3 linked regions of the Arabidopsis thaliana genome follow. The protein of the gene in region 3 interacts with the protein of the main gene of each other region in a pairwise test. Each region holds a gene or a part of one and is shown on either strand. Other genes may lie near its edges. The genes, in order: SUT2, AT2G24040 and PTR4.

Region 1 (12,741 bases), 350 kb from region 3:
ATTTATTTGTTACCAATAAATTAATTTGGGTTTTGTTCCGGAAAAAAAAAAGTTGAGGTTTTTTCTATATCTACATATACATTTTTGCAGCCACTTTGTAAAATAAATCCTGGAGTTGGGACTTATTTACAGTGGCTGCCACTGGCATTTAATTAATTGTATTAATTTTTGGTAAGATGTTCTCTGACCAGCTCCATTCGTTCGAAACTTTCAAAGATTTGGGCCATTTGATTTTAATACGTGTTGTGATTTTCATATCACTCTTTTGGGCCAAACGGTACACCGCTATTGGGCTTCAAAATAAAACTTCCCAACGACTAAATTATTTGCGGCTACGAACACATATTTTAAACGAATCAACCCTATTAAATACTAACGTGTATAGCACATTTGTCGAATCCCTTAAAATGTGCAAAATATTCCTTAGCTATTCACTCAAACAAAAAAAGTTATATGTAGATCCCTTAAAATGAGCAAACACACAACAAAAACATTTCTAATCTATTCACTAAATCTTAATTTTCCAAAATTTGAACTAGAGTTTCTGAAATTATTTAAAACAAAATATGCAAAAAAAAATCGGTGGTATCGTAAAATCCCTTAAAATGAGCCTAGATTTTGGCAACTATTTAAAACAAAAATTTGTTTGACAAATCAAAATAAAATTGCAATCTGGTAAAATATTTATTTTAATTATATATTTAAATTAGCGATGTGCCGCAGGTTTTTTTTACGGGACAGTTTTGGCGGGACGGGTTTGGCAGGACGTTACTTAATAACAATTGTAAACTATAAAATAAAAATATTTTATAGATAGATATTATTTACAAACTTTTATATATACTAATTTTAAATAAAAAAAAATTGTCTTCTCGGTGTACCGTGTGTTAAAATCTAGTAAATTTTACATAAATAAAGTTATTTTTTGGGAATTTTCCCCAAAATTAAACTTCCATTTCTGTTTTTTTCATTATTATGGTTGGCAACCTCATTCTTTTTTCTTTATATCATTTTCAGTATATATATTTTTTGAAATATATTTTTATAACTATATTATAATAAATATAATAAGAGGTCCGTTTGAATCTTCCAAACTACAAAACCGACTCTGGTTCTCTAGAGAGACCGCACCGGATACTTTTCAGAAAACATAAGAAAAACAAAAAAAGTTTTGATACGAGTTTTATTGCATACTTCAATAGTTTCTTAAGAACATAACAAGTTATCAAACTATTTTCATTGCTAGATGTTCGATCAAACCGCGGTGACTGCGATTTTCATATCGCTTTCGCAATGGTTTGGAAAATTGCAGATGAAAAAGTTTTGTCCTTTAGACAAAGTTATACGATCTTTGCCTGAAGTGTAAGGTTTTGCCCCTGTCGGTGTTTTGCAGTTGTTGTAACTTCCGCTATCTACCTTCACTACGTTGTGCATCCTCGGATTATAGTTAAACACTGCACCAAAGTTTTGGAAAATATAAAATTTTAAGTTAATCATATAATTTTTTTTTTTTGGTCTAACGTTAAATTAGTTAATCATATAATTGATTACTCGACCACTCTTAATTGATTCCATATATTGACACTCAGATTATAAAGTAGCTGGAACTGTTTAGGAATTTCATAAATCTACATACTATAACGTTGGTTGAGATATTTCTTCATGCGAAAACAATTTTAATTCATCACTCAAGTATACCAAAATAAATTAAAAATTAGGTTAGTGGTACTATTTATGATATTTTAAAATATTTTTTGTTAAATTTAAACGCACATGAATTTTTGCTATACACATAAATCAGCGTTTGTGAATAATCGAAACTAGAAAAAAAATTTTGGAGAAGGAAGATGTATACATACATATCTATAATATAGTAAAATATATCACAGGCTCAATCATGTAAAAGATATACACTATTTAAACTGTGTATGCAAAACATTTATCAATCATATTTGTAACCTTTAAACTATAGGAAGTTTTTTATTTGTCGTGTGCTTTATACAAAAGCACATCTTGCCCATACTTAGAAGCAGCCATGATATGGATACATCCCTAGTGGATATGAAGATTAGAAAGCTTAACTGCTTGTGGTTTAAGTGTAACAAGATAGTATAATAATTACTGAAGCTTGATTAAAAGGATGTGAAGTATATACCAAGAACGTCGCCGGCTCTAAAGTGTTTGCCTTTAGGCCAACCCACAGCGTTAAAGGTCCAGATACCAGAGTCACCGACCGTGTACGTTGCAGCTTGAACGTAGTCAGCTTGAAGCAACAACACTGACACAGCCATGAGAGTCACTATGGCTCGAGCCGACCATGATGCACTGCCTCTTCCCTTGGCCATTGATCGATCTTAGGTGAAAGTTTAGAGAAAGAGAGAGAAACTATAGAGAGTAAATGAGGATGAATTGAAGAGTAAATGTACAAAGGGTTTTTAAAGAAGAAGAAAATAAGACATTCAATGTTTTTATTTTATTAAATTGGGTGTCTCAACAACCCATGATATATGTTCATTTATTATTTTTGGCCACATTGTCTATGTAGAAATTGATTATAGACTTAACTTCGGTTTCTTTTGTCTCATTATTGAAGATAAGAGTTTGGTTTTGACATTGTTACACTAAGTTGAATTTTGTTTCTTTGTTTTGAAAATGCTTATATCAACTAAATAAGGAACTTGTGGACAAAGACTATGTCATCAACAACCCACGATATATGAGCATTTATTATTTATGGACACATTGTTTCTATTGGAGATATAGTTTGGTTATGATTTTAGTACATAGTTTATAGGCGAAAATAGGTTTGAATTTGTGTTCTTATTGAAATGCTTTGTTATATTAGTATGGTAATGTTGGGAAAACGTACACATCATAGGTTAAAGAACCAACAGTATTGTGTTATTAGATTGGACTATTGAGTTTGGAATATGTTGCTTCAAGTTTCTATTTGTGAGGAAAGGAACACACAAATATAAAGTGATTCAAAATAACGAAGATATATTCTACGTGAGAAGAGAGGTACTGTAAATTTAGAGTCACATTGCTGTGTATAACATATAAGAAAACTAGATGTACAAAACCTACTTACATATACGCCGAGAGGAGAACGTGGTCAAAAAGAATCGGGTAGATCTAACTGTGAATTTTATGTCTGTGGTATAAAGATTTTAGCCGATGTGGAAACCGGTGGACTTGAAAGAACTCGATAGCGTGGGAAGCCTTTGCAATGCAATAACTCCAGCAGCGAAAGCAGCAACAGACGCCAAAACAAACGCCGGTAAGTTTCCTCCTCCAAACAATTGATCCCATGGACCCGCTCCAAGTGATACTATCATCTGTTTAGAGCCAAAACCATATTCAGACACTATTTACGGGTCAAGACTACACTCGAAGTGAGTGGCATTATACAAGAGAATGAAATTTATCAGTGTAATTAGATTTGAGAGATTGCCTGGGGAATAACGATTGCGAGATTCAACACTCCTATAGCCAAACCTGGAGTGAGGAAATGAAACCATTAGGGATTACTGAAATCTAAGATTTAAGTACAAAAACTATGAATATAGTGAAGATATGAATCTTTTCACAGACCTTGACCGCCACCGGAATCAGCAGTGACTTCTGCTGTGACAGAGAAAGGGACACTGTATGTGATCTGCATTAAAGAATGGTTTTATCACATATTTTAGAGAAATGTTGCAACACGAAAAGAATAAAGAGAATTACGGTTGAAAGAAAGCACATACAGCTAGGGGAAAACCAAGGAGTGCAAAAACGATTACGGCTGCGGTTCTTGTTGTTTCGTTTCCACGCATTATGTATTCAATTCCATTTTTGTCATCACTGAGAGACATCAAGCTGATTACAGCTGTTCCCGCCATGCAGGCAAATACAGTAAAATTGCTCAAAGCCCATACAACCCGAGCACCCATCCGCTGACACATTGGTTCAATGAGAAATGAGCTGATCCCAAGAACAACCTACGGAAACAGGGAAGAAGAATATTCAATAACGGGCGAGTAATTGAATTTTGAAGAGCAGTGCAGTTAAAAAACAGGTTATTATAACGATTCTTACAGAGTTTAGTAGCAAACCAAGTGCACCTTCACGTACACCTTGATCATAGAGTTCCATATGCAAACTATCTCCTGTTGGATCCCCATGGTAAACTTCTCTTCCCATCCAATCTGTATCGAACAGAAAGAAGGGGAACCAGGATAACTGCAAAGAACAAGACCACAATCAAAAATATAACAGAAGCAAATAATTTTAAAGATCATTAAAGAGTTTAAGAAAAGAAACAGTGTGAAATATGTAATAACTGATCATAATTTTTCTTTGGCACTCACCCATGTAAGAGCCATGACGATAAGAACTGAGTGCATAGCCGGTGGCAAATGCCTTAAACTAGTTAGCAAATTCACTAAAACAGATCCAGGGCCATCAACGTAGGTCTCATCTTGATGCTCATTCTCTGAATTGCCAAACTGTTCATCCGTATCACGTTCCACTCTCTCATACTTGATTCCATTGGCAGTACCATTATTTAATTTTGAATGCTCAAGGCCTTTGGACTGGAGATCATCCAACAAAGGTGCAGAATCTTGTATGCGGGTGGGCTTGTTGCTTGTAAAAGGAATCTCTTTAGCAAAATAGATTGTGACAAGAGTACATATAGTGAGAAAGACCTGAAAAAATGATTTAAACTCTTAAAACATATAGAACAATATATTCAGATTTTAGACTATGAAACAAGAACAAAAGCCACTGGGTGCAATAATATAATTTCACTTTCAAAATCACCTCAAAAATAATATAGACATACAAACAGAACGCATTGATTTGCGACATATATGAATCACAAGTCACAATGTACAAACGTGAGAGTGTTTCGTAAAGACCAGCCCATTCCATTGCAATTTAGAAAGCTTAGTAAGATGCATGTGTCAGAAAATTAAACATACTGCTTACCACTGCAAGAAGAAACGCTGCTTTGAGATTTCCACATGCAGCACAACATGCTCTACTAGTTAAAAAAGGGAACCATCTGCGCAGTAAAATTGCCTGATCATTTAACAGCTGGCGGAAAATGCAAAATTGCAAATGAGGAAAAAGAATACAAGATTTTGAGAATAAGGATCTCAAAGATTACTCTTGCCATTTTCCGCTAGCACCGGCAGAAAACCCAAGGATGTTCCCAATAGCCATCCACAAGCAGAACACAGCATTTGCAGTATTCCGCTGATCAGGACCTAGGGACAGCAAGAGACATCTCATTAGAAGCACAGCATATTCAATCTGATTCTAGAGTTTGAATAGAAATTCTGTTCTGTTAAGTGTATGGTTATATTCCATTATTACCTGATAGATCAGCTAGAAGAGCACGAGCAGGTCCCTGAAAATAAAAAAGCCGAAAACATCATTCCTGGATACAGAGGTAATGACTAGTACCATTCACTCAAGTACATTGCAGAGGCAGATCTGAACCTGTACTGTATTGTTTGCTAGATCCAACAACCAAAACCCAATGATAAAGACAACAGCTGCCCTGGTTCGTGTGCCTTTGAAAGTACTGCATTTCAAGATACACATCAAGTCGTCAGTTACTTTAATTTTGATACATTCCATAAAAAACATGCCATTGGCAGGGGAGCAGGAGAGTTACCTGCAATGTTCCTTTGAATCTCCTAACAGATACCCAATGTCTGCAGAAAATCCGATTATTATCACCTAAATTGCAAGCTTTTGTTTAGCTTATATAAAACACAATGTAGCCAGCTATCTCCTAAAAGAAAATCAAAACAGAAATCATATCTTCTATTGGCACTTACTGCTATTGAGATCATGAATGATCCAACTAGAATAAATGGTCGTCTTCTTCCATACTTTGAAGTACATTTATCACTCCAAATGCCAACAAAAGGCTGGACCTAAAACCCAACAAACAAATAAGTATGAACAAAATGGGGCAGAAAAATAGTTTCTGATCCAATATAAATCAAAACTTGAACTCTCGTGAGATCATTACGTGCAAGATAGTAAAACTGCTAAAATTCTTAAAGAAACTTTTAACCTACCACAAGGCCTGTAATTGGGCCGCACAGCCAAATAAACGAAGAAAAAGCATGCGATATTCCAAGGGTCTGCATCAACCAACCAAATGCAACACTGTTAGATAAAACTCAAAAGGGTTCTTCAGCAACAAGAAAATCAAAATACTTCCAGCAAACAGATATTTAACAATAGTTCTATCTACCACCATAACTACCCACCTGATACATATATGACCAGTACAATACTATTCTAAACACAGTCTAATCTCTGATTATACAATAGTTCCGAAAAAGGCTAAGGTCTTTTATATTTTTACAAATGCTTATGTAATCCAATGAACATAAACAATCTAGCTAAATTCCAATGTCATATACTCTTCGATAAGCCAATGCTATAGAGTTCCATACGAAAATATCTCATGGCTATGTTGGTGACAACAACTACCTAACCTAAGTATTAGAATTCATTGATTCACCTACAAAGTACTCGACTTTCTCGTACAAAGCTACACAAGAACAAAACCCTCGAATCTAAATTGCTATAGAGAAAGCCACAAGTGATAGAAATGGTAACAATGACAAGAGTAATAGTAAGTACCTGAATATAAGGAGTAAGAAGAGAAAGTTGCAATGCCCAACCAAATTGAACTCCAGCGGCAACTGTACAACTAAGAACCAACGTCACTAAACTACAATTCTTCGACACAGATTCACCATCAGCCGAATCAGAATGATTCGAAGGAGAAGCAGATTCAGAGAACGACGAAGAACCAGATTCGTTTTGACGATGCTTGGTGACCGTCTCAAGTTCAATTTCCTTCCTCAAATTCCTATACGGAACCGAGATCGACACCGAGTCACTCATCGTCCTCAACACACAGATCCCTAATTCGTATCAAAATCAATTTCTCATTCCGATTTAGATTTCTAGGGTTTTGATCTCGTCGATCTAGATTCGGAGACGATGATCGGAGAGTCAAATTCGGGCGGGTGAATATTTTGATGAAATCGATTTTTTTGAGGTGATTGAGAGAGAAGACGCGGAAGTGAAGAAGGAAGGAAGATTCGTTTTACAGGGAACCGTTGATTTGTAGATTAACGGATGAGATTAAAACCTAACTTAATAGTCAACGTTTTCGTCTCGGGCTTTGTGTAATCAGCACCGTTGGATTTGATCGGATCAAAACCGTTGCTTCAATTTAAAGGAAGAGCGGACGAAACTCACCGTCACCGACACCAAACAAAAAGTGTGTGCTTTTAAAAAAGTAAAACGGTGTCGTTTGATAAGAGTTGAGAGTGGGCCTGTAGTTTTTTGTAGCTCGGCCCATTTTTGTAAGAAATTCACAACTGTGGTACATTTAGCCCAAATATTAAGTCTATTAGAAGAAAGCTGTCTCATTTTTTGTTAGCATACACACCTAAAACCTATAAAACATGTGTCAAGATTATATGATTCATAGCTATGTCCCTTCTTCTATTTTCTGATGCCTTACACTGCGAACACTGTGATTAGTGATTACATTGGTTCAAGTTTGACTTCATGAAATATGTTTGGTTCAAGTTTGCTTCTAATGCTACCATTCAAATCCAAACTCTCACAATTGCATATTATTAAAGAAAAAAGGATAAGACGTCTCAAAGAAATTTTTTTATATAAAATCATATAGGGTATGTTCTTATTAACGTATATATGAACATGTGTTACTAATTTAAAAACAAAATCATTTTGTAAATTTGTGTTTTACAACAAATATTTTGTGGGAGATTTTAGGTGCTAGCAATAATAAGTAATGTTAATTAAGAGAGTTATAAACATTTTTTCACTATTTAATAGTGTTTTTTTCTTCTTACCAATGTCACTATTTACAAGTATATGTATTTTCTAATAACTAATGTAAACATGTTTGTAAAAAGATTATATAACATATATGTGTGTGATTGTGAAGGTGATAGAGTTCTTCTTACCAATGTCACTATTACAAGTATATGTATTTTCTAATAACTAATGTAAACATGTTTGTAAAAAGATGATATAACATATATGTGTGTTAACGTGATAGAGCCGGATTAAACGAATAAAAGGAAGAAAGTTAGAAATAAAAAGGAGGAAAAAGGAAAAAGACGTGTGCCTAACAAATGTATCATGTATTGGTACAAAAATGCAAAGATGATACATAATTATTAATATTATTCTTGCTTGTGGAAAATGAAAGCTAATAGGGCACACAATTGAATTAATACTTACGTCTCTCTTTCTCCATCTCTTCCCTTGTCCCTCTCTTCTCCTTTCCTTATCCACGTGTACATGACTCTTATGTCCCATCTTTTTTTTCTTTTTCTTATCATCAAAAGTTCAAAAACAAATCCTTTTGAGTTTAGTTGTTATGGTGTGCATGCATGTATGATGTATCCGAACCAAAGTATAGTCGAAAATCCAAATTTTGTATTCTTTAATGGTTAATGGTTAATTGAGAAGTTATAGCCGAGTCTCATACACTTGTTGTCCATCAAAACTGATACCATTCTCAATAGTATTTGAACCAGAAAACCACTATTACTCACTTTTGTAAAAGAACTATACATACGCGCCGTTAGACCAAATATCACTTATTACAAAACAAATTTTTTATCTATACCATGTTATAATTTTACATAAGAAAAAATAAAATAAAAAATCGGATTATTCCATTCAAAAAAGCATTTACATAAAATTCAAGCCTATATAGGCAATTTGGTAGCATTGACTCGGTTTCTCCACAAAAAAATGAACCTTATTACACCTTTGGTTTTATCTTATTTGAGATTGATGATTTGATCATGTGCCAATTTTTATTTTTATTTTGTTATAAAAAAGATCAAGGTTAATAAGTTGATTGAAAAACAGTAATAAGTTTTTTTAGTTTAATCATGTAATTACATTTGACAAAAAGCACGTGTTGAACGCGGCTATGACCCAAATAAAAGAGAAAAAAACATATGTACCATAACTTAACACGTCATCTCCTTAACGTCGAGCACGTCAAATGCTTACGCCTGAAAATAACTCCTTCGTCATTTCTCAAACGACAAATTCAAATATTAATAATATAAAAACTATATGTTTAAAAAAAAAAAAAGAGATGCGTTATTACAATAAATTTAATTTTCTAACTTAGTGATTGGTTGGCAATTTTGTCGTTCTCTGTCGATAGATCATAATTTATAATGTGATATTTACATATATACATAAGAATGGGGCTTACACTGTTTCACATAATAACTCCATTAAAGTTGATAAAGAAAAATTATAATGGTCATTAATCATTATTGAGAATGTAACCATCGATATTGAAAGATAGAAATGTGGAAAGAACGTGAAGAAATAAAAAAGAATCACGTCACGTGGAGACAGCTCTTTTACGAACTCTTATATCCACTCACTTCATTAAATCATTTAAAAAGTGGACTATTTTTTAAAAAAGCAACAATGGTTTGTGCATATATTTGTAATGGTTTTTTTTCTAAAATCTTTGTGTCATTTAATTGTCCCAACAAAACCAATACATCATCTTGCTTTTTTTTGGGTCCGATTTGTGCATATATAGAGTGTTCATATAGAACGGAGTATATGCGAAACCTTAACTCGACTAATTAAGTTCGGAAGCTACGTCCAATTATAACAAAGTTGAGTCAAAAATGCATCATCCCCTGAACATCGTCTCGTTGACCGGACATCGAGACTATGTGCTATCGCAAACAACATGTGATCAAATTCAAGAGACATATTAATAGATGACAATACGTTTTTAGGTTAATGGTAGATGAAACATTAGCTTTGTTTTTTGAAATATATGAAGAAAAAAAGAGTACTATAGTTGTTTATGGTTCTCGACATCATGCCTTTGTTTTTGTCGAACAATTGTTTCGTGAATGTCATGGGATAATACGGTTTCGTGTAAGTTATAACGAACGAGACATTAGGAAGATAATATTGACTAGCTACAGTAAATAAAGTTAGATTGGTTTAAAAGATGGATCTTGGATTAGTCGTAAAATCACTTTAGCATGCACCGTCCAATAATACTTCCCATGGGACATATAAGACTTACTCTCACACAACCCACACGTGCCTGTTACGTTCTTGATTGGATAAGAATGGCCTCGTTCGATGGTCAAAGCCTATAGTGGCACGATATGTAATCAAATTGTGTCGATCCTTTAATTTTTACTTTATAAGATCATATCAATAACAAAAATTAAACATTAGATTTGATCATGGCAAATTTCATTGGTGCATAAATTTCGCAAAGGGAAATTGACCTGATCAGTAGTTCTGCAGTTATACACAAATGCTATTAACCAGTAATGGCACTTGTTGAAATAGTAATAATAAACGTACTTAACATGTAAAAACATCATAATAGTGACATGATAATGTATAGACAGCCTCACGTGCATAGTCACATGTTTCATGGCCCTAGATTACTCGTCGCCAGCTTTCTCGTATTCTTACTTGTTCCAGTGAACCTGATCTAACAAATATTCTCTTTCCCGTACAATTCGTTGAAAATATATACAGTATAAAAAACAGTTAATCGATCGTTAACGGAACCACATAATGTTAAACGTATTGCTAAGCCAACAATTAAACGTTTAAAAAATGTTTAGCGCTAAGCCAACAATTAGAGGATAATTTATTTTGGTTACCCGCGTTATATACTTTATAAATGTGTATTTATTTGATGTAAAACTTAGGTATATGATGTTAAATGTACTTTAAGTAAATAAGTCTCTCCTCAAAAAATTAACAAATAATACTCACATATAATAAATTTTACATGAAAATAGTTGTATATGTATTAATCGATTGGCTAGACAAACACATTTGTTATTTTCAGGTAATCTACAATTTTGATTGCCTTCAGTCATAGAAAATACCATCTTATCAAAAATAGTATCACATTAAATTAGCAATCTCAGCTAATTACTCTTCAGGTTTTTTTTTGGAGAAGATGGTTAGAAAACAGAAGGTTAAAAACAGTAAAAATTAGTGATAAAAGATGACAGTATGATACTATAATGAGGTTAAAAATTATATATAACTGGTAACATTTTGACAGTTTGAATAATAAAGTGATAGAAATATAAAAAACAAATATAAATATAAGCAAAAAGTAATTAAAATATCAAATTCCCCCTTTTTTTTTCTTTCTTCTAACCACCTGTTCTGGTAGTTTTCTCTAATCATGTCATTTAATTGTTCCATTAATTGATAATTTTTAAGACACGACCATCAACAGTTAAAATTACAAATTAAATTCATATAACAACTTGAAAATAAATAGATGTTTTTTTTGTATATCTACAATATGATCATTAAAAATGGTCTTAGAACTAAAAAAAATCGGTAAACTGCTAAACACGACTACAATACTTAACCAAATTGTAAATCACTATGATTGATAAAAAAAAAAAAAAAGTAAAACAACACTAACATTACTGTACTATTTTTATAAAACAACACTAACACTGATTCGTGAAAGAACAACAACAAGTACTTGGTTTGGTTATAATCACTGACATTTTCTATATATTATCATTTATTATGATTTTGTCTATTTGTTTCAAAATACAATGTACTTTCATAATATAGAGGTGTTAATAAAAAAAGAAAAAGAAATGAAAATTTAATGACGTGGGATTTTGTAAACAACTTTTTCAGTAAGTAATTAAATTCCTTTTGACCACTGAAATTTAACAGCTGAAGTACTCTGAAACATCTGTGCATTCAACTCTGAAAAGTAGATTGTTTCTTTTTCCTGATTTCCTCACGCTCATAAAAGAAAAAAATACTATATATTTCTAGTTAATTTTCCATAAAATATCAATTATCCAGAATATAAAATATCCTTATCAGTAGCAAAAATTGGAAAAATATTTATATTGTTTTAGAAAATTGGACCAAAACATCTCTAAAGGAGATTAGGCCTTTCTACTAGCTAAACAATGGTTTAGGTCTCCAGATTTATTTAGAAAGACATTAAATGTGAATTAAAAACCAAATCTAACTCTTTTTTTGGTTCTTTAACCAAAAAATAAAAACTCTTTTTTTTTTACAGCTAACCAAAGCAAATCTAATTTATTGGAAAAATACCCAAAATTAATATACTTTTTTTTTTTTGCGTTAGTTGATATAGTTTTGGTTCTCTAATTAGTAATTCTTAATTTTCAACTTTATAATTGGTGAATGAAAAAAAGAAATTAAATATTATTATTATTATTTTTAATTTTTAATTTTAATATTATTATTTAGTCAAATTGATTTTCCGTTTAAATTTTTTTATTTGACTGCATTAAAATTTGCATATTAAAATTAAAAAGTTAACAAAAGAGGAATAAACAAGAGAGAGAGAGAGAAAAAAAGAATTGTTCCTCTCAAAAGATTTTAACTTTGAGCTCTCTGAGAAACCAAAGCTTCACTCTGATTCGCTCTCGAATCAAAAGAGACGACAGAGAAAGAAGAAGAAGAAACGCGAAGAACAGAAACAGCTCTCTTAAGCTTTTCTTAATTATTATTATAATTTTCTCTTCTTAATCCCCAAATCTCGTAAGTCTCTCTTCTCCAATCTCTGATTCGTTTCTCTGCTTATTATAATAATCTGTTAATTATCAATCAAACAAACCAAACCCCTTTTGATTTTATCTC
Region 2 (9,659 bases), 9.7 Mb from region 3:
AGCCTAACTTAAAATGTTCACCTATTGCAGAATCTGTTTGATATTTGAAAAAACCAATGTAATGTACCAACCTTTGATTGTCCATCTTCACTGTTATTATCTTTGTTTCCACCTCCAAATAATCCATTCACTCGAAGAGACCTGTAACCATTTTTAGACTTGTACTGCTTTGGCCATGTTCTTCTCTGCGAATTCAAGCTCGCATTTCCTGAAACTATTCAAACCAAAAAATTACTAAAGCCCATTTCAATCCCAAAAACACTTATAAATACAAAATTACGCTTCAATTCCTCCAATTATGGAATAGAAAAGTCTAATTACGAAAGATTAAGCAAATTCAGATGAAACCTAATGTACGACAGATACATAAAGACTCAAAATCCAGTGTCACGAAACCTTAAGCGAGAGATAGAAGTAGGGATTTAGGAGAGACTAACCATGAGAGAATGGAAAGAGCATAGATTTGGTGAAATTGGTGGTTGCAGCCATCGACGCCATTGTTGTACGAGTAGAGAGATATTAGAGAAGGGCTTTTTTTCTGAAATTCGAGAAGATAAAACCGGAAGCTAATTTTTTCCGGGCAACTTGTTCGTAGCTTCTGTGTTTGTTGAAGCTTTTAACCAATGATTTTGCGCCACGTCACTTTAACTCTTTTTTTGAGCTTAGATTGTTTTTGTACCATTCTTTTCTAGTGAAGAAGTCGCAACTTTAAAGTTTATACACTTTCAGTACGAAATTGAGTGATCAAACGTAAAATGTTCTTACATCAGATATTGATTCGATTTTCGAAAAATTCAATTTCTAGTATAGATGAAACTTTATCAGAGATTGTAACATGCTTCATTAAACCAAAAAAAAAAAAAAACATGCTACAATAGAACCATCTTTCGTGGTTCTATGTATGGGACATGGTCATATGTGTTGTGGTCTTGTGGAGCTGTATTGCGAGAAGAACTATTGATTGATTGTGGAGTTGTCTATATACCCTCTATGTATAGAGAGACTCACCCCAAACATTTGAAATACCTCTAGGCAAACCATTTTGGGCCTCTCCTGAAAGAAGACATTTATCATCGTATCATGTCCAAACAAACATACTCTGCTTGTACAGTTGTAAGTTTGTAAAACATATGATAAAAGCATAAGACAACACACACTCCAAAATGCAATCATGATCTATACACTTATTCTGGTCTCTCTAATGGCATTGGTTATTATTCTCATGATTCTCAATCTCACAACAAAAAAAACATCATGCAAATCTCCTACTGTCACATTGCATAAGAAAAAATAAAAATAAATTCATGAATTCAATCTCTGATTCCTCATGGTATATTGTCATGACCTAACAAAGGTTTTTTTGGTAAAAAAAGTTGATATAAAATAATCTAACAAAGTTACAAAGAATCTTCTATGACTTCTCCAAGCAATGAACCTTACCTTGTGTATCATCCATTGCTAGAGATACTGATTCTTTCTGTCCTGGATCAGCATTCAGAGATCTCACTGGGACTGTAATGAGTTTATTCTGCTGTTTCTCAAGCAAAGCCATGTGTTTTTTCCCAAGCGTATGATTCCTCATCGTCTGCTCAGAATTCGTCTGAATATTACAAGTTTTGCACCAAACCGTTTCCTTCTTTTTCTTCTCACCTTTTGTCTTCTTTCCCGTTGTTTCTTTCGCCGCAATTTCATCTACTTTTTGACCCTGCGGATTAGCATTTTCACATACTCTAATGGCTTCTGGTTGCGGTGCTGTAACGGAAGCAGGGGATAAGGAGGTTGAAGCAGCTTCAGGTGTCTCATTCTGTTGTGTAACAGCAGCCTTATGCTTTTTACCTAACTCATGATCCCTCATGACTATTTGACAATAGGTCCCAACTTTACAAATCTCACACCAAAACTTCTGGTTAGTTCTTAGCTTACCTTCTGCTTTCTTTCCACTGCCAAGTTTCCCTGAACAAGGAACCTTCGAAGAGACTATTTCTCCGGTTTCCAAAGACATCGCCTTTGCTTCTGATTCTTTTGCTTTCGGCCTTTTCACTTGAAGATCTTCGTTCAAACCAGTTTGAATATCCTCTGCTTTACGCTTTTCTCCTACAGGATCAGCTCTAGCCTGCAATAGTAATCAAAGAGAACACATATGGTCAGGATTTGTTATAAGCAAGTAAGGAAAGTACGTGGATAGAAAAGATGAGATATCACACTCGTAGTAAAACACTTACCAATACAATAAACTGCTCTTTGTTAGACTCCAAAACTGATGTTCCTGTAGCCTCAGGCATTTGCTGAAGTTTAGGCAATTGCATGGTACCAACACTGTCTGCTTTAGGCTTAGCTCCTATAATATCAGCTCTATTCTGCAATAGAGAAATCAAAGAGAACACATATGAAACAAAGGCTTATATATACTCTATCATTTATGTTTACCATTACTTAAAGAACTCACCAATACAATCAAATTCTCTTTATTAGACTCCAACATTGATGTTCCGGTAGCTTCAGACATTTGCTGAAGTTGAGGCAATTGCATCATTGGTGATGTAAGTAGACTGTTGTAAGAGCCTGTGTTGATCAGAGAATCAATGTAACTATACTTCTGTCTGAAAAAGTTGTTGAACTGATTCTGATTTTGATTTGGAAGCTTCCTTTGATTGATCCACATAGTTAGCTTTTCCTCTAGAGACATCTCCGTGTCTGAAACTCGTCGTATCGCCATTTCTCTCTCGATAGCCATCTCTTGTAAAACCTCAGCTATAAGCTCTCGTTTTCTCGCTGCTTCTGCGATAATGATCTCTTGACGGATTTGTTCTTTCTCAATTTCTCGTTTGATCGCTTCCCGAACTTGATCCTCACTTTGTTGTCCTACGAAAAAGGTTCATAATCACTTCACATTTCGACATGAGAAGATTCATAAACTTCAGATTTTTCACACAGATTTCAATTTCGTGAAATCAAAACATGAAAAAACAAACACTCAAAATTTACGTTACAGAAACTAAACAGGTCTCAACAAATCAACTCCTATAGACAATCGCATCACCAAACAAAATACGAAAAGTGCAGAATCATAACAATGTTCTCTGTCGGGGATGGATAAAAAATACGATGCACAGACAGTACAAACCTGGCATTGATCGTTCCGACAAGAAAGGAAAGTTCGGTTTCAGCGACGGAGATGGTGTCGTGTCCGTCGCAGGAGGTGGGCGATTATTATCGATGGCTCTGTATCTGAATTCCATCGAATTCAAAATTTGGAGAGAGAGCGGAGAAAGAGGGTTATCGTTTGTAATCGCTTTTACCTTCTGGTCGGTCACTTTTCTTAAATAACAGGGATAGCTTTTTTTTTTCTGTTTTTTCCCTTTTTTCTTTCACTGTTGTGAATCTTGTGATAATATCAAGAGATTTTTTAAAAACAATATGGAATTTAATCATATGCAATACTTAGCAAATTTGGTTACTAATTTATTAGAGATTTGACCTGTGATAAGATTTAAATATATTTCTATTTTCCTTAAAAACTTGTTTTATTGAAAATTTTAAATTACATTATGTGATCAATCTTTGACGGATTTTTCTATATAAAATTACAAATTTATTAGGGATTTGATTTGTGTAGTGGCGTTTCAAACAAAAATTTAAAATAAATGTATTTTAGATTAAAAAAATTATGTTAAAGGGAGTTTTAATATTTTAAGAGATTACAATTATTACATTATATGCGTGTTCAATTTTTGGCGGATTTCTCTATGTAAAGTTACTAATTTACTAGGGATTTGGTTTATGTGGAACCAAAAACAAGTTTTAAATTTTAGTCAATGTATTGTAGATGGTAATTATGCTAATATTTTTTTTAATCTTTCAAGGGCTTTAATCAAATTCAAAAACTTTGTTCAATCTTTATCTTTTTGTAACTTTGTAGAGGTTTGACCCGCATTATTCAAATTCAAACAGATTCTTAAAACAAAATCTTACAAAAATTCTATACTTTGAAACATTCAACCAAATTTTAAAATCGTGTTCAACTTTCGATTTGTCTATATAAGATTACTAACTTACTAGGGATTTGACTTGTGAAGTGAGAATTTCAAACGATTTTTAAAATTTAGGTTAATGTATTTTAGGTGGTTGAACAATTATCTTTAATTTATGGAGATGATTTTCTGCCTACCAATATATCACCGATTAAAATTCTCACATATGATTACTATTAAGCTAAGCGGCAAAATCATTGGCGTCCCGAAAAAAGTAGTATTCTCTCTGTTTCATAAGTTTGGTATTGTAGGTTTTTTACACAAATTAAAAAAGGTATTTTTTATACTTTTTGATTATTATTTTGTCTTGTTTAATAATATTAATTCTATTTCTCTGTTTTCTCTATTAATCACAGCTAAAAGTAATAATAATGTTATACAAACCATCAATTTTTTGTGAAAAAAAACCTACAACATCAAACTTCATGCAACAGAAGAAATATATAATAAGTTCTAGCGATTAGTTCAAGCCGCTTAACTCGCATCATAACAATGACATATTTTCATTTTAAACTCAGTTAATAATGATTGGAGTGTCCTATATTCTTTAAAAAGTGTAGTATGTCTTTTCATATTCGAACAACTAGGGTGTTATTCGTTTTATTATTTGAATGGTGCATCTCGATTATGCATCCAAATATTGTAATCTAGAGGATGCTTCCGGCTGTTGTTTGTTTATATATTTGGTTCTTCATATGGATTCCCTATCTTGATGTAACTTTGTTTGTTTTTCTTTTGTATTTGTTAATTTACATTCACATCGATGTATTTAATATCAAAATGACTAAATTGTGCATGTGTTAAATTTAATGATATCTTAATAATCTTAACTGTATTTACAACTAAAAAAATTTCAAATTTTTCTTGGCACAATTATAATCCAAGATAATGCAATGTAGCTCATCTAGTAATATCATTTATCAGCTGGAATGAGATTAAATAATGAAAGAGTATGGTAAGTGAAGCCATACCAAAGCTCCCGTGAGTCAACCAATAAACAGACGTCATACGTCAATACCCAAAAAGATATCAACAACGAACCGTAGGATATAATAAATCCCGCAAAATAAACGGTTAAAGATCTCGCGGTACACTCTGTATCTTAATTATTAAGATTCACGTCGCTGGACACAACACCTACTATATTTGTGGTTGTTTGTTTCGTGAAGCTTCTCTCTTCTTCTCTTTTTCAAGTCATCAAATCTGATCTAATCTCCGTAAATTAATGGCGAGTAGTTGCGAGCTTTGCTGCGAGATCTTCATCGCAATTCTTCTTCCTCCTGTCGGAGTTTGTCTCAGGCATGGCTGTTGCACTGTAAGTTTCATCTCTCTCTATCGATCTCTGAACTTTCACAGCTTCTTATTTCAGAAATCGAAACCGTAGTTGAAATTGAATTGATTACGGTTATTTAAATTGAAATTGGTTGCACTCCGGTTTACGGGAACCAATCAATATGATGAATGTGGAGATCAATTACTGAAAATATAATTGTGGTGTTTTTGTTAAAAAGAAACACTAATTAAGGGACTAAAAAATAAAATTTTTAAATTTTGTTTTTCCTAACTCATGTTTTTTTGGTTTAACTTGTAGGTTGAGTTCTTCATTTGTTTGATACTGACTTGCTTAGGCTACTTACCAGGAATAATATACGCAATTTACGCAATTTGTTTCTTGCACCGCGATGAGTATTTTGATGAATACAGACGCCCAATCTACTATGTTGCTTGACCTCTTGATTGATTCTTGCTCTTGAGCACACATATTGTACTTTAAAGTGTAATTTACTTGTATCCTGGAGATAATAATACCATTTTTTTTTAAGACACAGGTATTGTGGTTTATTTTACTATATACTTTGATGAATGATGAATGCATAATGCCCAATTACTATTTGCCTATGGAGCCCTCATATTAAAGGTCAGTATCTATCGCGCTATGATACAGCTAAAGAAATTAGCTCAGCAGTCACTGAAGTGGAAGAGGAAAAAGAAAACACTGTTTTTTCTCTGAACAGTGAAGAAGACAAAGACACTTGGTGAAGAAACAGAGACTGACAGTGATTCTGAATTCAAGATGACTAAGACGACAATACCAAAAACAGGAAGAAAAGTTTAAAACCATTGTTAGCTATTGCATCACTTGAAGACTTCACACTTCTTTTCTCTTCTTTCCTGTTTTGCTTTGCTAAGTTGTTTCCAGGAAAGAAGAAAGAAGAAGTTGTGGAGTCTTTTGATGAAGATAGTGACAGTGATTACTATATTTACCCTAGTCCATTCGATATTGAAGAGAATTCCAACAGTGAGGAATACAATCAAATCTTCATTGTTATATGTTACCCTAGTCCTAATACATACTATATTTATATAATGGTAGTACCATACTTACCATTACCCTGAGTGAGTTTCAACGATGATTGAAATTGAATTAAGGCATCCCACAATTAATTAGATTATTAATGTCAAAGACAAAAATTGTGTAGGCACTAAGAATAAGATAACAATCAACAAATTGTGTTTTTTTTTCTCCTCACCCTGAAATGTTCAAAACTCAAGATGAACGAAAAAAACAAAGATGTAACAAAACTGAACCAAATCTTCCAAGTATGTGATATTAACTCAAAACTTATATAAGAAAAATGATTCAGACTACTCCTCAAGTAAACATTTTAAGACTTTGCCGGCCAAACCAATTTACTTTTAGAGCAAACTCTGGCATGCCTCAACTTCAACCGCCTGCGAATCCAATACAGACTGTCCCGATGGACACTCGCGAACACTCTTTATCACTGCATTGAGTACGGTTTTTCTGAACCACTCATCTTCCATCTTCTTCAGAACATCTCTCACCAGCTCGAAATCCAAGACTTTAGCTGAGACCAACTCCCCTAAGAACTCTCCGAAGCTGTTTGGTGCTTTTGGCAGATCGATTCCAATGTCATCCAACATGGAACCGTAGAGCAAACAACCTGCCCCTAAGTCTTTAGATGTCAGCACATTCTTAGAGATCAGATGTTTCAAGAGTTTGGCAATTGGTTCAACCAATGGTGGGTTTTTCTCTAGACCGAGCGAGATTGTTTCCTTGACGAGCTCCGGGTGGTAAGATGGAGATTTTAGTTCCTCAACGCATTGCAATGCCTCATCCACTAAACGAATACTGAAATACTCTTCAAGAAGCGACTTGGTTTTTCTCTCGAGCTCTCCTGCGTTCAGGCTATTAGCCAGAGGAGCTGCCTGTGGCTGTGGCTGAGGTTGAGACCGTGGTTGCGGCTTCTCAACAGTTGGAATGGGTTTAGAGGCTTGAGGAGCTGAGCTAGAACCGTTACCTTGCAAAAGAGGGCTTGGCCTACCACCACCATTGAGGAGACCTCCGCTACCCTGAGGAAGAAGCCTTGAGTTGACTGAGAGTGACTTGTTGATAGCAGGAGGTGGCTGAAAACGCGGCTGCTGCACTGTTTGTCTATTGCCTCTGGGCATGGACCGGGTCCGTGCCATTTCCCAGCCGTCTTCATCCATAGGCATCACCCTAGTTCCCGGCATGCCGGGCATCATTCCTCCAGTACCAGGACGGCCAAGGATATTTCCCAAGCCCATACCGTCTGCTGCACCAGAAACCGCAGCGCGGTTGTTGTTGTTGTTTCTCATACTTGCCATTGCACCCGGACGCATCCCAAGATTTCTCTCTGCCTCAGAATGGATTTCATTGATTTTCTTCGCTTTCACCTGCCATTGAATAAGTACAACAACACGTAAGCACGGATAAAGAACTAAAGACTGTTATTAAAAGATTTGAGATGGAATGATAAAATCTTACCTCCTCACGCCTTGGTACCCATTTATTAGCTCGAAGATCAACAACGTTTTGGACCATAAATCTGAGACGCAGCTCTAGCTGAGGGTGCCTTGCTAGCTCCTTCAACCGACCAAAGTACGTGTCATTAATACCTCGAGATCGTGGGCTGTCATCAAGTTGCTTCCCAATGGTTATAAAAAATTGGCAGAGAGCTTCAACATCTCCCTCTGCTGGGCAAGCTTTAGTATCGTCTCCTAAAAGCTCCTGAACAATATGATGAACTATCTTCTCAGGCACCATCTTTTGCTTGAGAAGTTCACCAATCAGACGGATATTTCCAAGTGTCCGGAGCTTTGCCATTTTCTCCTTATCCATTCTTTCCATTTCTTGGTCTGGATTAGTCATCTGTCTGATCTCTTCCTTCAATTTGCCAGCACCTTCAAATGCCTCTTGGCAATTATTCAAAAGCACTCTTTTAAAGGTTATTTCTTTCCCACCGGGTTCCTCAGAGGGAAACGAAGGTAGCTGTCCGTTAATATCAAAACACAGAAGAGCATACATCTCGCAGAATGTGGGCTGCAGTATAGCATTCTCAAAAATTAGCTGTATCACTTCCTGCAATCAAAGGTAAGAGCAAATCAATACCATGAAAGAGAGAACTACAACAATAGAGATCAGGAATTGAAACAAACCTTTAGGATATCTGCGGAAGTGATGCCAGCGTCAATCAATTGACCTTTAAGAAGCTCGTACTTCTCCGGAGTAAGCTTGTTTAGAATACTGCATAAAATTGTAAAGAATCAGTCAGAATATACATCACATCAACCTTCAAACACAAAAGCTGAAAAGAATAGTATTAGTTGTTGACAATACCCTTTCACGCTCTTAACGACTCGATCTTTATCTGAAAGAGCTCCTCTTTTAGCTGACCACGGAACCTCCGCTTTAATCAGCACAGGGGTAGGACCAGACTGTTTCACAAGATGATCATGTTAGCAAGAAGAGAAAACTAGTAATGATATGCCAACACATAACAAGTGACGAAAACTTACCCCTTGCCATGTACTTTTGGCTTCACGAGGGTCGTCCCTTAACCATTCTTTACCAGAGGTTGGAATCTGAGAACGACTATGCCAGTCACGGTTATCAGTCTCGGTATGACGATGCTGAGTATGATTTGTTATCTAATAAGACCAAAACCAAGAATGAAAGTTTAAAAGACAGATTCCAAAACAGGAGGATTACACACACACACACAGACACACACTTACTTTACTCTCGGCTGCATGATTCCCCCAACTCTGCTCTTCGCCAAAAAGCTCAACTGCGATTTCCTTACAGCGTCTAAGAATTTCATCAGAGACTTGAACAGACTGCGATCAAGAAAACACAAAGGTGAATGATTTGGTTCACAAAGTCAAAAACAGAATCAGAGAATTAAGTTAAATACCTCTCTGTGCTGAAGTATCTCTTCTCGGGAAAACCTCACACGTTCACCAGAATTTTCTCTCTACAAAAACATAAAATGTCAAGAGCTTAGGATTCAATTACATAACATAAAGTATCAATCTTTGTCCATATTCAAATTCAACAACCCTAAAAATTCAAACTTTGTACAAAATTCGATTCAAAATCATGGAAACGAATCCAATCCTCGTTTAAACTCGAATTGCGAAACCAAATTGAAGAGAAACAGAGGATTTTTCAATGTATTTACCTTGACGGGAAAAGGGGTTTCTTCGGAGCCGCCATTGGTAAGATCAAAAGAGGAAGAGGAGCTAAAGCGAGGGACGAAAAGCCTGCTTTTGCCGCCGCCACCGCCGGGTCTCAAACTCAAA
Region 3 (10,448 bases):
CATAATTATGGAGCGCAATTAAGGACAAAACAAATAATAATATTAGTTTATAAAATAATCTTATTAGCAAATTGTGTTCTTGTTGGTCTTCTTAGTCTCCAACAACTTCTTCCAGTAGGCCGTGACTTCTCTCTGCGTCTCCTCTGGCGTCTTCTTAACACCGTTAACTTTTCCATTAGCCATCTTGGCGTGAACCCTCGCCGGAAGCGTATCGAGCTCGTGTAGAACCTTCTCGAAATCAGCTACCAATCTCTCGGCTAAGGTTCGAGAGAAATCTTCTCGGATAACAACTCGAAGGACAGTGACATGCTGCGCATCCGCAGGCATCGTGTAGGCCGGAACGATCCAGCCGAAGCGACGGAGTGTATGGGCCACCTCGAACTCGTTGTGGCGGCTACTATCTTTGAGAGAAAACGCCACTAACGGAACACCGTTTTCTTTGGAGACGATTTTAAAACGTCCCGTTTTCTCTAATCCTTGTCTTAGTACCATCATGTTTTCCCGACAATTATCCATCACATTGCGATAACCCTAAATCAAACAAGAAAAACATTATTAATTACACAATACCAAAACTAGTCATGTTAGGAACGTTTAATTCAAAGTATAGTAACAAGTAACAACTTAAATATAATACATTCTAGTTTCTTTATTGACCATTTGGTAAATATATTGCTATTTTGAGTTATTATTTACCTCGAATCCAAGACGAATCAGCTGGTAGTACTGAGCAATCACTTGACTTGAACCTGGTTTATACAAGCATTATCAAATGTTTAGTCTATAAAACAATTCCATACACCAAAAATATTATTGAAAGTTATATATGTTATGGACTTATGGTAATGTACCTTTGGAGAAGTTGAGTGTAAAGGTTGGTTGATCAGCGCCAAGATAATTGATATGGAAGATAAGTTCATCAGGCAAATCGGTTTTGGTTCTCCATACAACCCAACCAATACCGGCGTAAACCAAACCGTATTTGTGACCACTCACATTAATACTCTTAACCAACGGTAGCCGGAAATCCCACTCCAGCTCCGGATACAAGAACGGAGCAATAAACCCACCACTCGCTGCGTCCACGTGTATTGGCGTGTCCCATCTGCAAATTGTGTTTTAGAACGTTAAAACCGGACTCCAAACCGATTACAATCGATATTAGCTTGTTTCTCGGTTTGGTTTAATTACCCGGTTTGCTTGTTTTTCTCGACAAGGAGGTCGTTGAGGAGCTTAACGTCTTCGAATTCACCGGTTAACGTTGAACCGAGGATGGCAGCGACACAAATTGTGTTTTCGTCTACCATTTCGACCGCCTTTACAGGGTCCATCACGTAATAGTCTTCTCTTAGGTTCACTTCCTTAAGCTCCACTTCGAAATACCTTGCGAATTTCTCCCAGCAAACCTGTATTGAACCGGAAATTGAGTCACACATATAACTTAACCGGATTGATAAATTCAATTTTGTCTTGGTTAATATTTCATCAATTTTTGTTTTGGTTTACCTGGACATTAGCACCGGTTACGATATTGGGCTTATCATAAGGAAGCCCTTGGGCCTTACGCTTATTCTGCCATTGTCTCTTAAAAGCCAAACCGGCCAACATAATCGCCTCCGACGATCCGACGGTGCCAACACCAACGGCAGCTTCACCGTCACCAAGCGGCGCGTTGAAGAGACGTGCTATCATGTTAACACATCGGTTCTGAAGCTCAGTGGTGACAGGGTACTCGTCCATGTCGACGTAGTTCTTGTTGATGGACTCCATCATGAGCTTGTCACATTCTGGCTCCATCCATGTGGTCACGAAGGAAGCTAGGTTCAGCCTTGGGTTACCATCGAGCATTAGCTCGTCGTTGATGATTTGGTAAGCTGCTTCTTTTGGGATTGAGTTCTCAGGCATTTCGAATCTAATGATGAAATGATGATACATTAAGTTAAAATAACGAAACATGTCCTTCCTTATAGTATATAACACATAATAAATCTACAACATTAACCACGGCCAAAAAAAAAACTATCCAAGGTTTACATCATTACATGTTACTATTGTTGACGAAAACATTAGACAAAAGATTTGTGTTACAAGTTGTTACCGTGGAAGAGAGTTGCGGACGTAACGAGAAGCAAAAGTTGAATGGATTGAGACATCAGATTCGGAAACTGTCTTAGACAAAACCATGTCTTCTTTCAACTTCGAACTTTGATTTTTGGGTTTGAAATGAACAAGAGGAAAGAATGTGTAGTAGTGTTTTTGTTTTGTAGTTGAAGAAGAATGTGTGGAATTAGAGGAAGAGGAGCAAATGGTATATATAGTAGAGAGAATGTGTCTCTTCATTTCGTGTTTTGCATCGTGAAAGGAAGCATCGCTGGTCCTTATTTATGTGCTCCTTTTTCAAACCTTTTCCTTACCAATGACTTTTCCTCATTATAATATTTAGACCAATGAATTACTAACTTTTAGAAACACGAATACTTTTATTACTATCGTATACAAATTCCGACCGTCATCTTTTTATTGGATCTTTCTAAGTTATCGTGAACATTTTATTAGTGATTTTGATTTTGTTTATTTAGCATCTCCCGCGATTTGATCAATTTCACACTTACATAATTATGTGAATATTACAAACGCGTTACGCGTAAAATGTGAATATAGTACTAGATTATATTGTTTTCGTGATTCCTTTTTGCTGTCAATGGAATTTATACCAATAAGCTAGAAACCAAATTCGAACTTATATTGGTATCACCACTAAAGGACATTGACTTTTTGTTGTAAGATCTCATATTACCATCTCTAAAGTATAAAAATTCAAATAAACATCAAACCCATGGTCTGACCTAATTAAACAAATAAAGTTAGGCGATTTATCAAACCTCCCACATGTTTAGACTAGCTTTAGAATAGCCCTAGCTTGGGTTAATTTTGTTGAAAACTAGAATCCACTAGCCCTAGCTTGGGTTAATTACGTTGAATACTACAGCTTGATCAGCATTGTTTCTAGATTACCTTTTTTTTTTTTTTTTCAATTGTACATAGGATTTACTTATATTTTCGAATGGATACATGAAACAAGAATACTTCATCATATATGTTTATATTTTTTAAAAAATCAGATTTTATAGACAATTCTATTTTGACTATTCAGGATATTATTAAATACAGTTTTCATTTTCTTTATCTATCTTGTTTTTATTTTTTGACTGAAGGACTTGTCAGTAACAAAAGTAAAACAACAGGTTTGTTATATCTTGTTTTTTTTTGTCTCCCCCAAATGATTTTCAGAAATAAAAATATTTGTGAGTGGCACTCATACGTAATTAAGAGGCAGGGAATGGGGCATAACTGGCAGTAAGAAACAAAAGAAGAAAAATAGTAAAAGTCAAAAGTCGACCCATCAGTCACTCTCTAACGCGTTAGTCAATGGGAACCGGCAAATGGAGACCGAGACGCCACTCGCCGAACCGGCAATTATGGGTAACCGCCACCGGTTTACTTCTCTAAAGTTCTGACTTTCCTTAATTATTGCAACACGAATTTTGAAATGGCCAATTAATACATGCTCTGTTCGGTTTTGTTTGTACTAGTCAACTATTAGCGACCGAATTATTGACTATTCAATAGTTCAACGTTAAATTATTAAGGACAATTCAAAACTATTCCTTTCATATTCAACATTTTTATTTAGAGACAAAATCACCAATCCATAATTTAATTTATTTATTTATTAATCATTTAAGCGGTTCGAAAACTATATCACTAAAATCAATTGGTAAACCAATAAATTACAAAACGATCATGATTTACTAGAGCTTCTCGTTTTTGAGGTTGAAGACTGTTGGTCTCCCAAAAAAAAAAAATCAATTTACCCCAAAACTATTTTTATTTTGCATTAATTAATTATTATCATAAAACTTTATTAACACCATAAATTGCATTTGGTGCTTCAAAAAATAAAATAGTATTTATTTACTTAATTCCTTACCAAATATTTTATATCCAAGTTGTGGAGGTCATAAAATTGGCCCAACAAGTACAAATTAGGAAACCCACTAATATTTAAAGCCCAATAGGTCCACTCAATTTTGCAATTTCTTAAAACGTGTTGTTAACAAGAACACATTTTATGGTCCAGTGGTCACCGCCACCAACTTCTCGACTTCGAGAGAGACAAGAGTAATCCAACGATCTGGTTGATAGTGGTAACACTGTTCCAATGAGCATTTTTTGGCATATCCCTCAATATATCTTTATTGGGAACATCTAGCGTTTTGTTCTTTCTTAGTCGGCTTGATTTTTTCTATGAACAATCTCTAGATGCAAAATTTGTGTAGTGCTTGGACTCTTCACTCGGCTCATTGATTCTTACACTTGTTGCATATTTCACGACAATGAACCTTAGTAACGGTCATCTTGATTACTATTTTTGGCTTTTGGTCTGTCTTGGCTTTGTTAATTTACCGGTTTGGCTAGAAAGGTTTCGTAAGATTTGTTTGATGTCTTCTTTAAAACTTGAAGTCTCTAACTTGTTTGATAACTTTTGTTGTGTTAGGGGAAAAGTGTGCTATGGCTCAAAATTTGCTTAATGCTTAAGTCTAATCAGATTAATAAAGTTTGTGTGGTTTTATATTCCCTCTTTTTTTTTATAACATTTTTTAAAGAATGTGGTTCTGTGGTGAGTGACCACTCACACCACCAACAACAACTTGGTCAGTGGGAGGATCATTTTATTTGATCCTTCGTTGAGAAGCTTAAATCAGCTTTACGTGAAAATTGTCATGTTGAGGAGAAAGTAAAAAATGGCTTCCATTGATGAAGAAAGGTCACTTCTTGAAGTTGAAGAATCTCTTATACAGGTTCAACCTCATTGTCATTGTTTCTTTAGTGTTTTGGGGTCTAAATCTTTGTTGACTAATTCGTTTTTCTCCAGGAAGAAGTAAAATTATATGCTGAAGATGGTTCAATAGATATTCATGGAAACCCACCATTGAAGCAGACAACAGGAAACTGGAAAGCTTGTCCATTCATTTTTGGTAAACACTTTGTTTTATTTCACTTGTAATGTACTTGTTGTATTCTCTCATGTTCTGTCTTTAATCTCCAAAAACTGATATCTATGCTTTGGTTGGTGCAGCAAACGAATGCTGCGAACGGTTGGCTTATTATGGAATTGCCAAGAATCTCATCACGTACTTCACAAATGAATTGCATGAGACTAATGTTTCTGCTGCTAGACACGTCATGACATGGCAAGGAACATGTTACATCACTCCTCTTATTGGAGCTTTAATAGCTGATGCTTACTGGGGAAGATATTGGACTATTGCTTGTTTCTCTGCCATTTATTTCACCGTAAGCATTTTCTTGAAAAATAACTTTGCTTTATGTTCTGTTCTTGGCTTGATGTTCTGTTCTTTGATGTTGTTTTAAGGGAATGGTTGCATTGACACTCTCAGCTTCAGTTCCGGGTCTTAAGCCAGCGGAATGCATTGGCTCTCTATGTCCACCAGCAACAATGGTTCAGTCTACGGTTTTATTTTCAGGGCTTTACCTTATCGCTCTTGGCACTGGAGGAATCAAACCATGTGTCTCATCCTTTGGTGCTGATCAGTTTGATAAGACCGATCCAAGCGAACGAGTCAGAAAAGCTTCTTTCTTTAACTGGTTTTACTTCACTATCAACATTGGTGCTTTTGTTTCATCTACTGTTCTAGTTTGGATTCAAGAGAATTATGGATGGGAATTAGGATTCTTGATACCTACCGTGTTCATGGGACTTGCTACTATGAGTTTCTTCTTTGGCACGCCGCTTTATAGATTTCAGAAACCGAGAGGTAGCCCGATTACTAGCGTCTGCCAAGTTCTTGTAGCCGCATACCGTAAATCGAATCTCAAGGTCCCTGAAGACTCCACGGACGGTTACAAGAAAATCTTTTTCCCTCTCATTTCTTGTTTGAATTGAGCATTAGTCTATTAACGGTTAAATAAACGGGTTGTGATATCAATGTACAGGTTTCTTGACAAAGCGGCAATTATATCAGAAGGAGATGCAAACACTAACCCGTGGAAGCTATGTACCGTGACTCAAGTCGAAGAAGTTAAGATTCTGTTACGTTTGGTCCCCATTTGGGCCTCAGGAATCATCTTCTCAGTTCTCCATTCACAGATTTACACTCTCTTTGTTCAACAAGGACGGTGCATGAAACGAACCATCGGCTTATTCGAAATCCCTCCCGCAACTCTCGGGATGTTCGACACTGCAAGTGTTCTCATATCTGTCCCAATCTATGACCGCGTCATCGTTCCCTTAGTGAGACGGTTCACAGGCTTAGCTAAAGGATTCACCGAGCTACAAAGAATGGGGATTGGTCTTTTTGTCTCTGTTTTGAGCTTGACATTTGCAGCTATCGTTGAGACGGTTCGGTTACAGTTAGCTAGAGATCTTGATCTAGTGGAAAGTGGAGACATTGTTCCATTAAACATCTTTTGGCAAATCCCTCAGTACTTTTTAATGGGCACTGCTGGAGTTTTCTTCTTTGTTGGGAGGATTGAGTTTTTCTATGAGCAATCTCCAGATTCAATGAGAAGCTTGTGTAGTGCTTGGGCTCTTCTCACTACTACACTAGGAAACTACTTGAGCTCGTTGATCATTACCCTTGTGGCGTATTTGAGCGGAAAAGATTGTTGGATTCCTTCAGACAACATTAACAATGGACATCTTGATTACTTCTTCTGGCTTTTGGTCAGTCTTGGATCTGTTAACATACCTGTTTTTGTCTTCTTCTCTGTGAAATATACTCATATGAAGGTTTGATCTCTTCTTCTGGCTCTTGTGTGTACTTTCAAAATTGTTTTTTTTTAAACCAGCAAATCAGTTATATTAAATCATAACGGTTTACATGATACATACAACAACCATTCAAATATAACTATTGAAACAAATAAAGGAAATTGAACACAATTTTGATGAAGAAGTGTAAGTGACCCTGCTTTCGAAACGGAAGCCTTACAGGCAACAAAATAAATCTGTTAAGTCCTCTCATCATACACTCGCAAAAAGCTAACATCTTATAGATGAAACTCCTAAATGCTTTCTGCATTACTTTAATAAAACGAAGAATTTGGTAAGTTGCTCGAAATGGTTCTGAATCATGCTTTTTGAAACGCTCTGCACCGGTTAATGACTATGGATTTTCCTTTTACAAGACTCACTAACGGATTCAATCCATTAGTTTTCATTTTCTCTTGCGCCAATTTGTCAAATCTTCGAAGACATAATATTCCCGGAACCCATATTCGTCGACCGAAGCACCAGTTGTGAGGAAGAGTCGCTACGAGCCTCATTTGATCTTCGGCTAAAACCTCTTGCAACGGTTCACTAGGAAGCGCACCAGAGTCAATCGAAGATTGGCAATGTATTGCCAAATTGACATCGCAATGGGATGTTCCCATCACAGACATAAAAGATGCTTAGCGGATCCGTCGAACAACTTCTCCACACCGGCATCGAAATAGAAATTTACCGTTCCCATGAAGAGAAGGAGGCAAAGAAATCGGCTCCATTGTAATGGAAACCATAAGAAAATTTTATGAAAGAGAGACATGGCAGTTACTATGAAATGATTAAACCGCACCAAGAGAGAAGAGAACAACGCACTGGTCGTATGTTTGATGCAACATACGTTGGTGATGGTGCCCATGATGTTTGCGACAAGATCTGCTTCTTCATGGTGATGATGGTCACAACAAGTTATGTTAATCTTGCTTGACGACGGATCGTGATTTGTTCGAGACAGGCCCGTCTCTGGGGGTGGCAAGGTAGGCAAATGCCTAGGGTTACTAACTAATTTCAAAAAAATTGTTAAGACTAAAAGGCCCCAATATTTCAAAAAAAAAAATTTACTAAGAAATTTTATTTTATTTTGGGTTTTGCCATAGGTCCCATAATGAATTGAGCCGGGAGACTGTTTGGTCAGTTTCGTCACGACAGATTTTGGACAACCCAACCAATGGTGTAATGAGTGGCAAAACCAGTTCTCGCGGCCAACAAGATGAGATATCCGGCGAAAAACATGAACCGACACCAACGTAAGGAGAAGAGAGAGAAAGACGATAATCGCCAAAATAATCACTCACAAATTTGTTTTTATTTTATTTTAGGGGAATTTAGTTAAATTTTGAATTATTATAGTTCTTGGATTCAGAAGTTATTTACGTCAATCTAAGATTTGAGTTAATCTAGGCAAATCTTAGTATTATTTACTATGTAAATGAATTACATTATTCCAATTAGAGATTTGTTCTAACAATTTTGTAGTTATTTTAATCTTAAAAGTTTGAGGCTTTGAGCCATGGATAATAACGGAAAACAATTCTCAAATAAAAAAATAACAAAGAAACATTAAACTATATAGATATATACATCATAATTCACGTTGATTCCAGCCACTCTTTATGACGGTTACAAAGAAAATATGGAAACAGAACTTATAAATTCAGCGCACATTGAATTTCACAAGAGTCAGAAGAAATCGATGGAGAAACTCCTTACGATCAAATAAGTTTCTTTGTCCGCAAGAAAAGAAATCAAACGAAGAAGAAAAGAGTTTGAGAAGATCCATATACCTAACGAAATCGTCGAAGAAATCTTGGTGAGGCTGCCGGTGAAATCGCTCACGAGATTTCAAACTGTGTCAAAACACTGGAGAACTCTGATCACGTCGAAGTATTTCGGAAAAAGACACATGGCTCTTGAGAAAAGCAAAGGATGCAAACTCCTTTTTGTTTGTGATGATTTTGTAGATCGTGCAGAGGACACTCTGTTTTTAAAAACAGTTGCCTTGGAGAAGACGTCAGTTTCTGAGGGAGATGAACAAGCTTTCGAATTCGAAGGATATAAGGGGTTTCTCGATATTTCCGAGAGCTGTGATGGCCTTGTCTGCTTCTACGACACTACAAGAGCAGTGGAAGTAATGAATCCGGCCACAACAATGTTCATAGAACTCCCTCTATCGAGAATCCAACAGCTTTGTATATACAAGCCAAACCCGGAGGTGGAGCTGGAGCCAGTTCAAGATCCAAATCCTGTTCTAGACCCAGTCATGACATGTTCTCAGATTGGAGTTGGGAAAGACAGCGTTAGTGGAAGTTATAAACTAGTATGGATGTATAATACTTCTCCTGCTACTCCTCCTACGTGCGAGGTTTTGGATTTAGATGGAAAAAAATGGAGGTTCGTGAATACTACTTCTCTTGATCATCATCAGATCTTGTGCGATCAGAGGCCGGTGTTTGCAAACGGATCACTCTACTGGCTCACGGGAGATGAGGAAGGATATGCAACAACACAAACCAAACTCATAGTTTTAGATTTACACACAGAGATGTTTCAAGTCATCCAAACACCGCCTTTTATTACCCGTGATGCCTCTGGTGACAAGATTGGTTTATGCAATCTTGATGGTCGTCTCTGTATTTCAGAGTTGAAGAAAGATTGCAAGCAAGAGTTTTGATGGAGAGTTGAAGATAACAACACATGGGAGAGGATCTTCTCGGTTGATTTGGTTTCTACTTCCACTTGGTTTGGTGGTATCACCAAGCAGCCTCTCACACCTTTAACCATCTCCAGGGACACCAATAAAGTCATTCTCTCACTTCGCTGTCAAGATAATCTCGTTGCTCTCGATCTTGATCCAAACTCTTCAGTTTGCCATTTGTATTTTTCTGGTTACTACGGCTTAGTATGTCCTTATTTTCCAACTTTTGTCACTTGCCACTGAAATTTTAGCAAAGTTTGTAGCTCTTTTCTAGACAAAAATTAAAAACTGGCCATTATATTATATGGTCTTTATCCAATAACTTGAATGAAAATCAAATTGTATGACTTAATATATATACTAACTCCGTTAACACAATGCTCGGTAGGATTCTGAAAGAAAGAAACCAAAGAAACACTCACTACTATTAACTCCTTTTAAAGTAAAAACTTTGTCATACCAAATCAAACAGTATGTAGAGTTAACGGAGCATAAAATTTTGACAATATTGTCGTCACACCACTCAGTGTAAAGGCGAATGCTAGTACCAAGAGCAACTCCAACCATAACACACCAAATTAGGTGTTAATGCCATGGAGGCTCTTGTGAGATACACTCACAAAAAGGCTTGATCTCTCTTATCTGGCATTGGGTTAATGCCATGGAGGCTCTTGTGTGTACTTTCAAAATGTTTGGGCCTTTGTGTTGCAAACTGAAATTTATGGCCCTCTGTTTTGGCTTTAGGATATATTTACAACATAATAAATTACACAATTCCAATTAGAGATTTGTTCTTAGTTTTGAGGCTTTTTGACTTAAAATTTGAGCCATGAATAATCTTTCTTCTTTTTTCATCATAGATAATCATAGATAGAGTATAGAAATATTATATTTGATTTTTTTGTG

What was found.
Region 1: the proteins of PTR4 (region 3) and SUT2 interact in a protein complementation assay, tested with the Arabidopsis thaliana proteins (one large-scale study listed by BioGRID).
Region 2: the proteins of PTR4 (region 3) and AT2G24040 interact in a protein complementation assay, tested with the Arabidopsis thaliana proteins (one large-scale study listed by BioGRID).

Annotation. Positions count from the first base shown.
Region 1 is NC_003071.7:825,376-838,116, forward strand, and holds SUT2 (sucrose transporter 2), read right to left. Parts: upstream 7,245-12,741; 5' UTR 6,922-7,244; coding exon 6,655-6,921; intron 6,147-6,654; coding exon 6,081-6,146; intron 5,934-6,080; coding exon 5,835-5,933; intron 5,734-5,834; coding exon 5,669-5,733; intron 5,576-5,668; coding exon 5,491-5,575; intron 5,399-5,490; coding exon 5,365-5,398; intron 5,256-5,364; coding exon 5,156-5,255; intron 5,051-5,155; coding exon 4,975-5,050; intron 4,692-4,974; coding exon 4,353-4,691; intron 4,225-4,352; coding exon 4,081-4,224; intron 3,984-4,080; coding exon 3,750-3,983; intron 3,659-3,749; coding exon 3,595-3,658; intron 3,499-3,594; coding exon 3,455-3,498; intron 3,339-3,454; coding exon 3,171-3,338; 3' UTR 2,904-3,170; downstream 1-2,903. Other genes in the region: ARPN (plantacyanin), read right to left, coding at 1,255-1,454, 2,156-2,345. UniProt on the Arabidopsis thaliana protein: Responsible for the transport of sucrose into the cell, with the concomitant uptake of protons (symport system). Can also transport maltose at a lesser rate. May also transport biotin.
Region 2 is NC_003071.7:10,218,772-10,228,430, forward strand, and holds AT2G24040 (Low temperature and salt responsive protein family), read left to right. Parts: upstream 1-5,085; 5' UTR 5,086-5,256; coding exon 5,257-5,346; intron 5,347-5,622; coding exon 5,623-5,760; 3' UTR 5,761-5,976; coding exon of another isoform or gene 5,977-6,042; 3' UTR 6,043-6,400; downstream 6,401-9,659. Other genes in the region: AT2G24020 (Putative BCR, YbaB family COG0718), read right to left, coding at 72-214, 438-498; AT2G24030 (zinc ion binding / nucleic acid binding protein), read right to left, coding at 1,412-2,113, 2,223-2,357, 2,447-2,862, 3,125-3,239; eIFiso4G2 (MIF4G domain-containing protein / MA3 domain-containing protein), read right to left, coding at 6,729-7,751, 7,843-8,436, 8,514-8,601, 8,695-8,792, 8,874-9,005, 9,093-9,194, 9,272-9,331, 9,539-9,659.
Region 3 is NC_003071.7:474,312-484,759, forward strand, and holds PTR4 (Major facilitator superfamily protein), read left to right. Parts: upstream 1-4,665; 5' UTR 4,666-4,805; coding exon 4,806-4,862; intron 4,863-4,936; coding exon 4,937-5,039; intron 5,040-5,140; coding exon 5,141-5,358; intron 5,359-5,437; coding exon 5,438-5,924; intron 5,925-6,018; coding exon of another isoform or gene 6,019-6,047; coding exon 6,048-6,820; 3' UTR 6,821-6,874; downstream 6,875-10,448. Other genes in the region: GAD4 (glutamate decarboxylase 4), read right to left, coding at 64-531, 697-749, 852-1,105, 1,192-1,406, 1,507-1,912, 2,099-2,340; AT2G02023 (uncharacterized protein), read right to left, coding at 7,156-7,467; AT2G02026 (uncharacterized protein), read left to right, coding at 7,596-7,775; AT2G02030 (F-box family protein), read left to right, coding at 8,024-8,094, 8,585-9,518.